Neurospora crassa OR74A: one gene and its partner. The protein of the gene in region 1 interacts with the protein of each later gene in a biochemical or structural test. Links are inferred from orthologs where the notes say so. Each region holds a gene or a part of one and is shown on either strand. Other genes may lie near its edges.

Evidence for each region.
Region 2: the proteins of NCU06171 (region 1) and NCU06347 form a complex in vitro, tested with the Saccharomyces cerevisiae proteins (2 studies listed by BioGRID). The link is inferred for Neurospora crassa OR74A from reciprocal best matches to the Saccharomyces cerevisiae genes PAN1 and END3.

The regions. Positions count from the first base shown.
Region 1 is NC_026503.1:1,749,746-1,754,012, forward strand, and holds the start of NCU06171 (actin cytoskeleton-regulatory complex protein pan-1), read left to right. Parts: upstream 1-1,290; 5' UTR 1,291-1,491; coding exon 1,492-4,267.
Region 2 is NC_026504.1:2,823,157-2,827,351, reverse strand, and holds NCU06347 (actin cytoskeleton-regulatory complex protein end-3), read right to left. Parts: upstream 2,589-4,195; 5' UTR 2,178-2,588; coding exon 1,941-2,177; intron 1,827-1,940; coding exon 1,592-1,826; intron 1,519-1,591; coding exon 800-1,518; 3' UTR 587-799; downstream 1-586. Other genes in the region: NCU06348 (myo-inositol-1-monophosphatase), read right to left, coding at 3,449-4,195. UniProt on the Saccharomyces cerevisiae protein: Component of the PAN1 actin cytoskeleton-regulatory complex required for the internalization of endosomes during actin-coupled endocytosis. The complex links the site of endocytosis to the cell membrane-associated actin cytoskeleton.

The DNA of each region.
Region 1 (4,267 bases):
ACCAGGAGGCGGGGGTACTGGCGTGGGGCGCATGTTGCCGCAACCCACAAATCTTTCGACGCTTTTGTGAAGCTTCTGATTGTTTGCCAGTTAAAAAGGAACAAACTCACTGGACGCCATCACGCCAGCTGTAGTGCTCCGGTTTTTGCCCGCATCAGCACCACTCAGGGACCACAGGCCCAATGAAAACTGTGATCGGCGACTCTGGACTTTTACACCATGTACACGATGTCCTGGTAGCTGGTGCGGCCATCAAAATGACACGCAAACGCTATCCATCGAAGCGATGATGTGACCGGCCTTGTCTCCACCGGGCTGGCTGGAGCTGGGAATAAAAGGAGTCATCCTCTGCAGCTCCAGGTCGGAATCCATGGCGATGAGGTGTGGTGAGGAGCCCGACTCCGTGCAGAAAGCCAGGACGACCATGCTATTTTTGCCCGTTGAACGGAGCGGCGGCGGGAGGGAACGCGCGGGGACCTCAATGCTTGTCTGGAAAATTTTGTGACCGAGCAGCCGATAGTCTGGGGAGCTCCATTCGGCCGCACAGGCCAGCCCCCGACGTTGCTCTCGGCCGATGGATTCGGGTCTTGGCAGCTAGGGGAGATTCGGCCTGGAGGCGTCGACGTTGAAGATGTCAAGTTGGCCCAAGCTTCTTTCAGTTCGTTTGAAGCTTCATTCCTTTATGTGGCCTGTGCTCAGGGGGAGCTGGAGAAAGCTGTCACGTGGCAGAGAGGAGGCCGAGCACGGATTATACATACTGCGTATGTAGCTAGGGTGGTCCAAGCACCCTACTAGTGAGCCCAGTCCGCCCGTTCCTGAAGTCTACCAACACTGACATGTACTTGGAAGCTTCGCTGTTGCTTCTTTGCCTGCCGTGAGCATGGAAAAGGTGGAGCAAAAGAGAAGCAATGGAGAGCATCCATTGGACCATATGGTATTCCAGCTCCATTTGCTCATTTTCCATGTTATTAGTTCCCGCTTCCAACTGCAGTGGCTCCAACCAAGGAACGGGGCGTGGTGGTCCAGTCCTTGGTGTTTACTATGAGTGACATCGATTCACCGCACTGATTGCCTGCCCGACGCTGCCTGGACACTTGACACTGACCCTGACCCTGACACACGCAACAACAACAACACCCGACCGCCGCCAGTGCTGTCGTCGTCGTCGTCGTCATCACACGAGCGCTTCCACGGCGCATCGCAGCCCATACTTGCCATTTGCATCTTGTCTATCTACACCATAATCACTACTCTAATTCAACTACTAGTCTCCCCCATTCCGTGACTGCCGACCAAGAGGAGCTTGCTGCCTCTCTTTCGCCAGTTGCCTCTCCGCTCCTTGAACCCCCTTTTCCCCTCGTCGTGTATCAGGTGTTGCTGCCTCCATTTCCGCAGCCCCAAGCCCCTCTCTTCCTCGTCCGATACTTCTAGACCCGACACGAGGGCCATCGAATTGCATTTAGTAATATACACGAGGAGGAACCGCCCGTCATGTACTCGAACTCGAATGCCTTCCTCGGGGGCGCCAACAGCCTTCGCCCCGGCCAGCAGCCGCAGCAGCAACAGCAACAATACGGCGCCCCGAGTCCGTTTGGCCAACAGGGCCCGATGCAGCCTCAGCCGACCGGGTTTGCGCCGCAGCCGACTGGGTTCGCTCCCCAACCTACCGGCTTTGGTCAACAACAGACCGGCTATGGTCAGCAACAACAGCAGCCGCTCCAGCAGCAGTTCACGGGATACCCGGGGTTGCAGGCCCCCCAGCAACAGCCTCAGCTTCAGCAACAGTTCACCGGTTTCCAACCCCAGGCTACTGGCTTCCAACCCCAGGTTACTGGCTTCCAGCCTCAGGCTACTGGCTTCCAGCCCCAAGCGCCCCAGCAGCAGCCGTTCCAGACCGGCATGCCTCCTGTCCCAGCGATTCCCCAGCAGTTCCAGCAACAGCAGTCGTTCCAGCAGCAGCAGCAGCAGCAGCAGCAGCCATCGATTCAGCAACCCCAGCCGACTGGGTTCCCATCCGTACAGATCCAAGCGCCGGCTCAACAGCCTGCCCCGACCGCCCAGGGTGGCATCGCCCCTCCTCCGCCCGTGAAGCCCCAGGCTACGGGCTTTTCTGAGATGGCCGCCTCTTTCCAGACGGCTGGGGGCAAGGGACGGAGGGCCGAGCAGAAGACCAACACCGTCAAGATCCCCAACATCCGCCTTTCTTTCATCACGGCGCATGACCAGGCCAGGTTCGAGACGCTTTTCAAGTCGGCTGTGGGAGAAGGACAGACTACCATGTCGGGTGAAAAGGCGAGAGATCTCCTTCTGCGGTCGAAGCTGGATGGGGACTCGCTATCACAAATCTGGACATTGGCGGATACCACAAGGTCTGGGCAGCTACACTTCCCCGAGTTTGCCCTGGCCATGTACCTTTGCAACCTCAAGATCACTGGCAAGGCACTTCCTAGCGTCCTACCTGATCACATCAAGAACGAGGTTTCGAGCATGGTGGACATCATCAACTTTAGTATCACCGACGATGCGGGCTCTAGCTCTGCCCCGGCATCTAACGCCCCCAGCTTTGCTACGCAGCAGAATACGGCGGCCGTTCCGACCATTCAACAGCCCCAGCCGCAGCCGTCAAACTCGGCGATTCTCCAGGCGCAGATGACTGGCTTTCCTGCTCAGCAAACTGGTTTCATGGGTCAGAACCAGGGCCTTCAACCCCAGCAGACTGGATTCCCGGGAATGAACCCCCAGCCAACTGGCTACGCCGGTCCTATGCCTCCCATGCCTCCCATGCCGACCGGATTTGGCTCAAATCTGTCGCCTAACGCTGGCCCTGGCGGCATGGTTGCTCCTCTCAACTCTCAGCCCACGGGAATGCCTGGACAATGGGGACTTGTTAATACGCCTGCCACCGGATTGCCTCTCATTGATGCGCTCCAGGCTCGCATGATGCCTCAACTGGGACGTGAACAGCGGAATTATACTACGGCCGGACTTCAAGGTAATGCCGTTATCCCCTGGGCCATCACCAAGGACGAGAAGACGAGGTACGATGCCCTGTTCCGGGCTTGGGATGGTCTGAACAAGGGTTTCATCGCTGGCGATGCTGCTATCGAGATCTTTGGTCAGAGTGGCTTGGACAAGCCTGATCTTGAGCGCATCTGGACCCTCGCCGACAATGGAAACAAGGGCCGCCTGGATTTGGATGAATTTGCGGTGGCTATGCATCTGATTTACCGCAAGCTTAACGGCTACCCTATTCCTAACCAGCTTCCTCCTGAGCTTGTTCCCCCTTCTGCGAGAAACCTCAGTGCGTCTATTGGTATGGTCAAAAACATGCTTCATCAGGAATCCGAGCTCCGCAAAAACACTGGGGCCTCGTTGCTGCCCCAGAAGACCGGCGTCAGCTATCTTAAAGGCCACTCTTTCAAGAACACTGGGGCTAACCGCAAGGATGCTACCGTGTTCAAGAACAACGATGAGGAGGTGGGGTATCGCTCCAGCGCGCGCCGTCGCGTGGGCACGTCTCCTCGTCCTGAATCTCCGGCGGCTAGTAACTCCGGTGATGACCTGACTATTGAGCAGCTTCGCAAGAAGATCAAGGAGAAGCAGGTACTTCTTGATGCCATGGATTTCAACGATGAGAAGAACATGGAGGAAGACGACATTCTTGACAGACGCGACCGCCGCGAGGCCGATGAACTATACCGCCGTATCCGGAGAATCCAGGAGGACATTGACAATCATCCAGATGCCCAGCTGATGAGCGCCGACTCTGATGCCGAGAGACGCGCACTTAAGCGCCAGCTGCAGCAGCTTACTGACAGAATCCCAGAGCTTGCGTCCCAGGTTCGGAAGACTGAGAAGGCCATTGCTGACGCCAGACTTGAGCTCTTCCGTCTCAAGGATGCCAAGGCTCATCCTAACAGCGCCGCCGCCATTGTCGGTACTGGCCCGGGTGGTATGGTCACCGAGTCCGACAGAATCAAGGCCCGTGCGAAGGCTATGATGCAGCAGCGGACAGCTGCCTTGATGGGCAAGAAGATCGATATCGGTGATGATGATGCCGATGGCCCCAAGCGCTTGGAAGAGGAGAACATCAAGATTAAGACCGAAAAAGAGAACAACGAGCGCATGGTCAGAGACGTTGAAGATAGCGTCCGCGAATTCGCCAAGGGTATTGAGGATAGTCTCAAGGAGGGTGCTCCGGATTCCACCTCTGAACACGAGAAGCGTCGCTGGGAGGATGCCCTTGGCGTGGAGGACGAGGTCAGAG
Region 2 (4,195 bases), on another chromosome or scaffold:
CGAATGGTGGAGAGGGGTCTTTTTCCCCTGGAAGCTTTTCCATGTGACCATGAGCGTCATTGCCCCACTAGTGTACTCATCGATCCTACGATAGCATCCACAACACCCTCTTCAACTCATTTTCAACCTGACAGCCTCACTTTACGCTTATTTATCGTGGACTCAGCTGCTCAAACCAGTAATTACATGATCCAGATGGGCCCATGTGAAGATGCAATTCATTCGTACCTTTTGAGATGTTCCAACCACAGCAACTCCGAAGCAACATATTGCTTGTGCCTGCATATTTGGCAGGACATGTATATCAAGGTACCAGTGGAATAAGACTGGAAATGGCATAAACTAGGATTTCCGATGCCTCTTCACGCTGATGAAATCGAAAAGATATCTATACGGTCAAACTATTCTACTCCTTTCACATTTCCCGACAGCCTCTAGCGGCAACAAGCAGAGCCACCATGTTGTTGCTTAGACAAGCGCTGAGTGCAAAGGCGCGTGGATTGTGATGCTTAAATTCCCCTGAAAAGCACAGTCAACATGATACCTTTCATTGTAATATACCATAGCACCTGGGAAAATTACACAGTCAAGATATGCGCCATCAGGCAGCTTGTTGTTACTCCACTGAATGCCATTAAGAGATTATGCTGTCTTAGAAAGATGAAACGTAACCGATGAACCCAAATCATTCCTGTCCTGGCAAACTGCCCATGGTCTTCGCCTCGAGGAACCCAGCAAAATATCACAGCCCGCTCTCTCTACCTCTTCAACCCATCTCCCTGTACCGACCCTCAACAGCTTACCTCCCAACCTTCTCCTCCTCAATCTCCCTCTTCAACTGCTCCAACACGTCCTGCCTGCTCCTCAAATGCGCCTCCAGCCCTTCCACCTGCTCCTTAACCGTCGCCAAATCATCCGCCACGCTCTTCAGGCTCCCACCAGCCGCCGCCTTCCCCTTACCCTCCTCCAAGTCCCTCAATTCCTTGCGCTTATAATCCAACAGCTGTTCCAGCTCCCTCTTGACCAGTGCCGGCTTTGTATCCCTTTTCCCGCCCCTACGACGGTTCGCCGCCTCCTCAACCTTGGCCATCTTCTCGTCCAGCTCCGCCAGCTGCTTCTTCAGCCTGACTTCCTCCCACTGATCGTCCGTCTGCTCGGACGAGAAGTCGGTGCCGGCCGTCTTGAACGAGGAACGGCCTAGGCGCGTCAGGTACTGATCGCCGAACTTGGCCTTGCGGCCGGTAGAGGTCTCATCGTCGGCCTTTTGGGCCCAGCGCGACTGCGACGGGTCGTTGACGTTGTATGTGATCTTGTTGCGCTCGAACGAGGCCCGCAGAGAAGCGGGAACGGTGCGCGGGATGCGGAAACCTTCGTGGCGGTAGTTGAGGATGTGCAGGAAGGCGAGGCAGGCATCTTTGTTGATGGTCGAGGAGGCCGACGGGTTGACCAGGTTCCAGGCCGAGCGGATGTCGGTGTCGGGAACGGAGAGGGAGTCGTAGAGGTCTTGGAGGGCGGCGACTGCGGGTAGGTAGGTAGATTAGTATGAGGTTAGGGACCGGAAGGGAAGGGAAAGGAAGGGATGTAAACATACAGGAAACCTCGCCGCGCATATCTCGGTTCTCTTGATAGATTTGCTCGTACTTGGACTTATCCGCCGGGCTCATGTACCAGTCAAACCCATCCTTCAAGCCGGGGGTATCGTCTTCATCTTCGACTTGCTCGAATTTCGGCGCCTTGCCGGTTAGCGCGCGGTTCGCTTGCACAAGGTGGGCTTTAGATTCGGGGACAAGCCAGTCTGGGAGAGTTGTCGGGACATCAGCGTATTCCTGTTACCGTCTCCCCCTGTTAGTTCTCTGATACTGCTGCTATTACTGCTCCCATGCTTGCTTGCTTGCTCGCTCGCTCGCTCGCAGCTTCAGGACAGAAGGAGGTAGACGAACCCCGTTCAAAAGGTCAAAGATGACCCTCATCGCAACACAAAATTCCTCGAAATCAAGGTTTCCGTCATTGTCCACATCGGCCAGATCCCAAACACGCTCCAGCTGGTCATCGCGCAGGCCACTGTTCTTCAGCACCGGCGCCGCCTGCTCGCCCGTCAGGAACTTGCCGCCATTTGTTCGCGCCGAGAAGATGTTCCAGTACGTCTCGATTTCCTGCGCTTCGATTTTTGGCGGCATTGTCGCGGTTGGCTTCGTAGTAATTATATGCGTGTAAGTGGGTTGGAAATTTGGCTAGCAGCTACCTCTCAAGCTGAAGGGCCGTGAATCGCAGCGGCAACCTAAGTCCGGGGGCAACGGCTTCCGGTTCCTGTCCGGTGGTAATGCGGTCGTCGACGGGAGCGCTGATTGATTGACCGACTTGGAAATGATGAGAGCAATTGACGATTCGATTAAGCGAGACGGTCACGGAAATAAGTGGAGATTGATACTCGGGTCAATGTTAGATAATGGAAATGAAGTTCGATTGGGTTTGAGGTTATCTCGAGGAAGTCAGGTTGGGTCGGTTGTTGCCAGTGTACAGCCCCGTAGCGCGGTGTGATTACAGTGGGAAGTTGTCAGGCGGATCCCAGGGCAGCTGCAACGTCCAAGCTCCGTCTCTTGTTGTCGGTGGATGATGCCTCGCAGTATGACCGGGACCGGGGGGATGGCCCGATGTGCGCACATGGCTGTTGTGCCTTGCCGTAGCTTCGAGGTACATGGGTCTCCACTTTCTCTCTGCCCCTGAGCCCCTTTTTCATCCAAACAATGGCATCTCGTTGAACTTGTGTCAACTGCATGATGTGATGTTCGTCGTCTTCACGTCCATGCTATAAACTCGAAACCACGCACTCGAGGATTCAAACTGTTTGTGTTTCTTCCCAGTGAGCGACCAGCGTGGTCCAGGTTATAGAGGTTACAGATAAAGCGCACATGCTCACTAGGTAAACCACAGCAACCAGCTCAGCTACCAGTTGGTGCCGATTCCTTCCAGCATTGAAAGGAATAGCAATACTCCAGGCCATGGCATCAAACATGTCTAACTTTATGAGTCATAAAGTCGCAGAAAACCTTTATTCACATCAACGGTCCGATGGTGTAGTTGGTTATCACGTCAGTCTAACACACTGAAGGTCCCCAGATCGAGCCTGGGTCGGATCAAATGCGAATTCTTTTTTTTCCTTCTTTATCAACCTTTCTGCAACGTACCTTGCCACATCTTCACACATCAAGGAACGAAATCACCTTCAGTTTTCTTCTTGATCGGCCATAGGACCGTGATGCAGCTGTCACTCACATTGCTGACGGGCGAACGACCCTTTCCCGGATATCGCACCCCAATCCAACCCTTCTAACGATAGCCTTAACTCATCTAGTCGACATCTTTCCAAATCCAATATGCCTGCTTATTACTTGACCCAATGCCTGATAACCTAAGCCCGTACCCAAAACCGCGTCATGTTCACCAACCATTAGTGCTTATATTCCATCCTGTCATCCCCAACAACCCCCCAAAACTCCTCCACAATCTCCTTCTGTCCGCTCTCCGCTCCCCTGACGGCCAAATACAACCTTGAATCCAACTCCGGGTTCCAATCCCCCGGGTTTGCACTAACCATAATTCCACCCGCCTCCTCGAGAATACACCACCCCGCCGTCACATCCCACGCATAACACCCGCCCTCCCAGTACATATCGACCTGACCAGCCGCCACTGCGCAGATGTTCAAGGCCGCGCTGCCCAAGCTGCGCAAGCTGTGCACCATACACCCGCCATTCTCCTTGGCAGCCGTCAACTGTCTAAACACCCTGGTCTTGATATCAAAGTTCTTTCCCTCGCGCTGACTACCCCACTCGACCGCCACCAGGGCCGTGGAAAGGTCTCCTAGCGGCTGGCCCCCATTCAGCGGCAACTTTTGCTTTGGCCCCTGTCCCTTTCCTGGTTCGAGAGAGGCGTTGCGCTGACAGTAGGCGCCCTGTCCCTTGGTGGCCGTCCAAAGCGTATCGAGAGCGGGGTTGTAGACAACGCCCACCGCGGGGCGGCGGTCGAGGGCGAAGCCGAGCGAGATGCAGAAGCCGTGCGGGTAGCCGTGGACGAAGTTGGTGGTGCCGTCAATGGGGTCGACGATGAAGGTCGGGGCGGAGGTGACTTTGGTTTCCCCGGCGACGTAGGTCTCTTCGCCGACGAATGAGAAGGAGGGGTATTTGGAGCGGAGAGT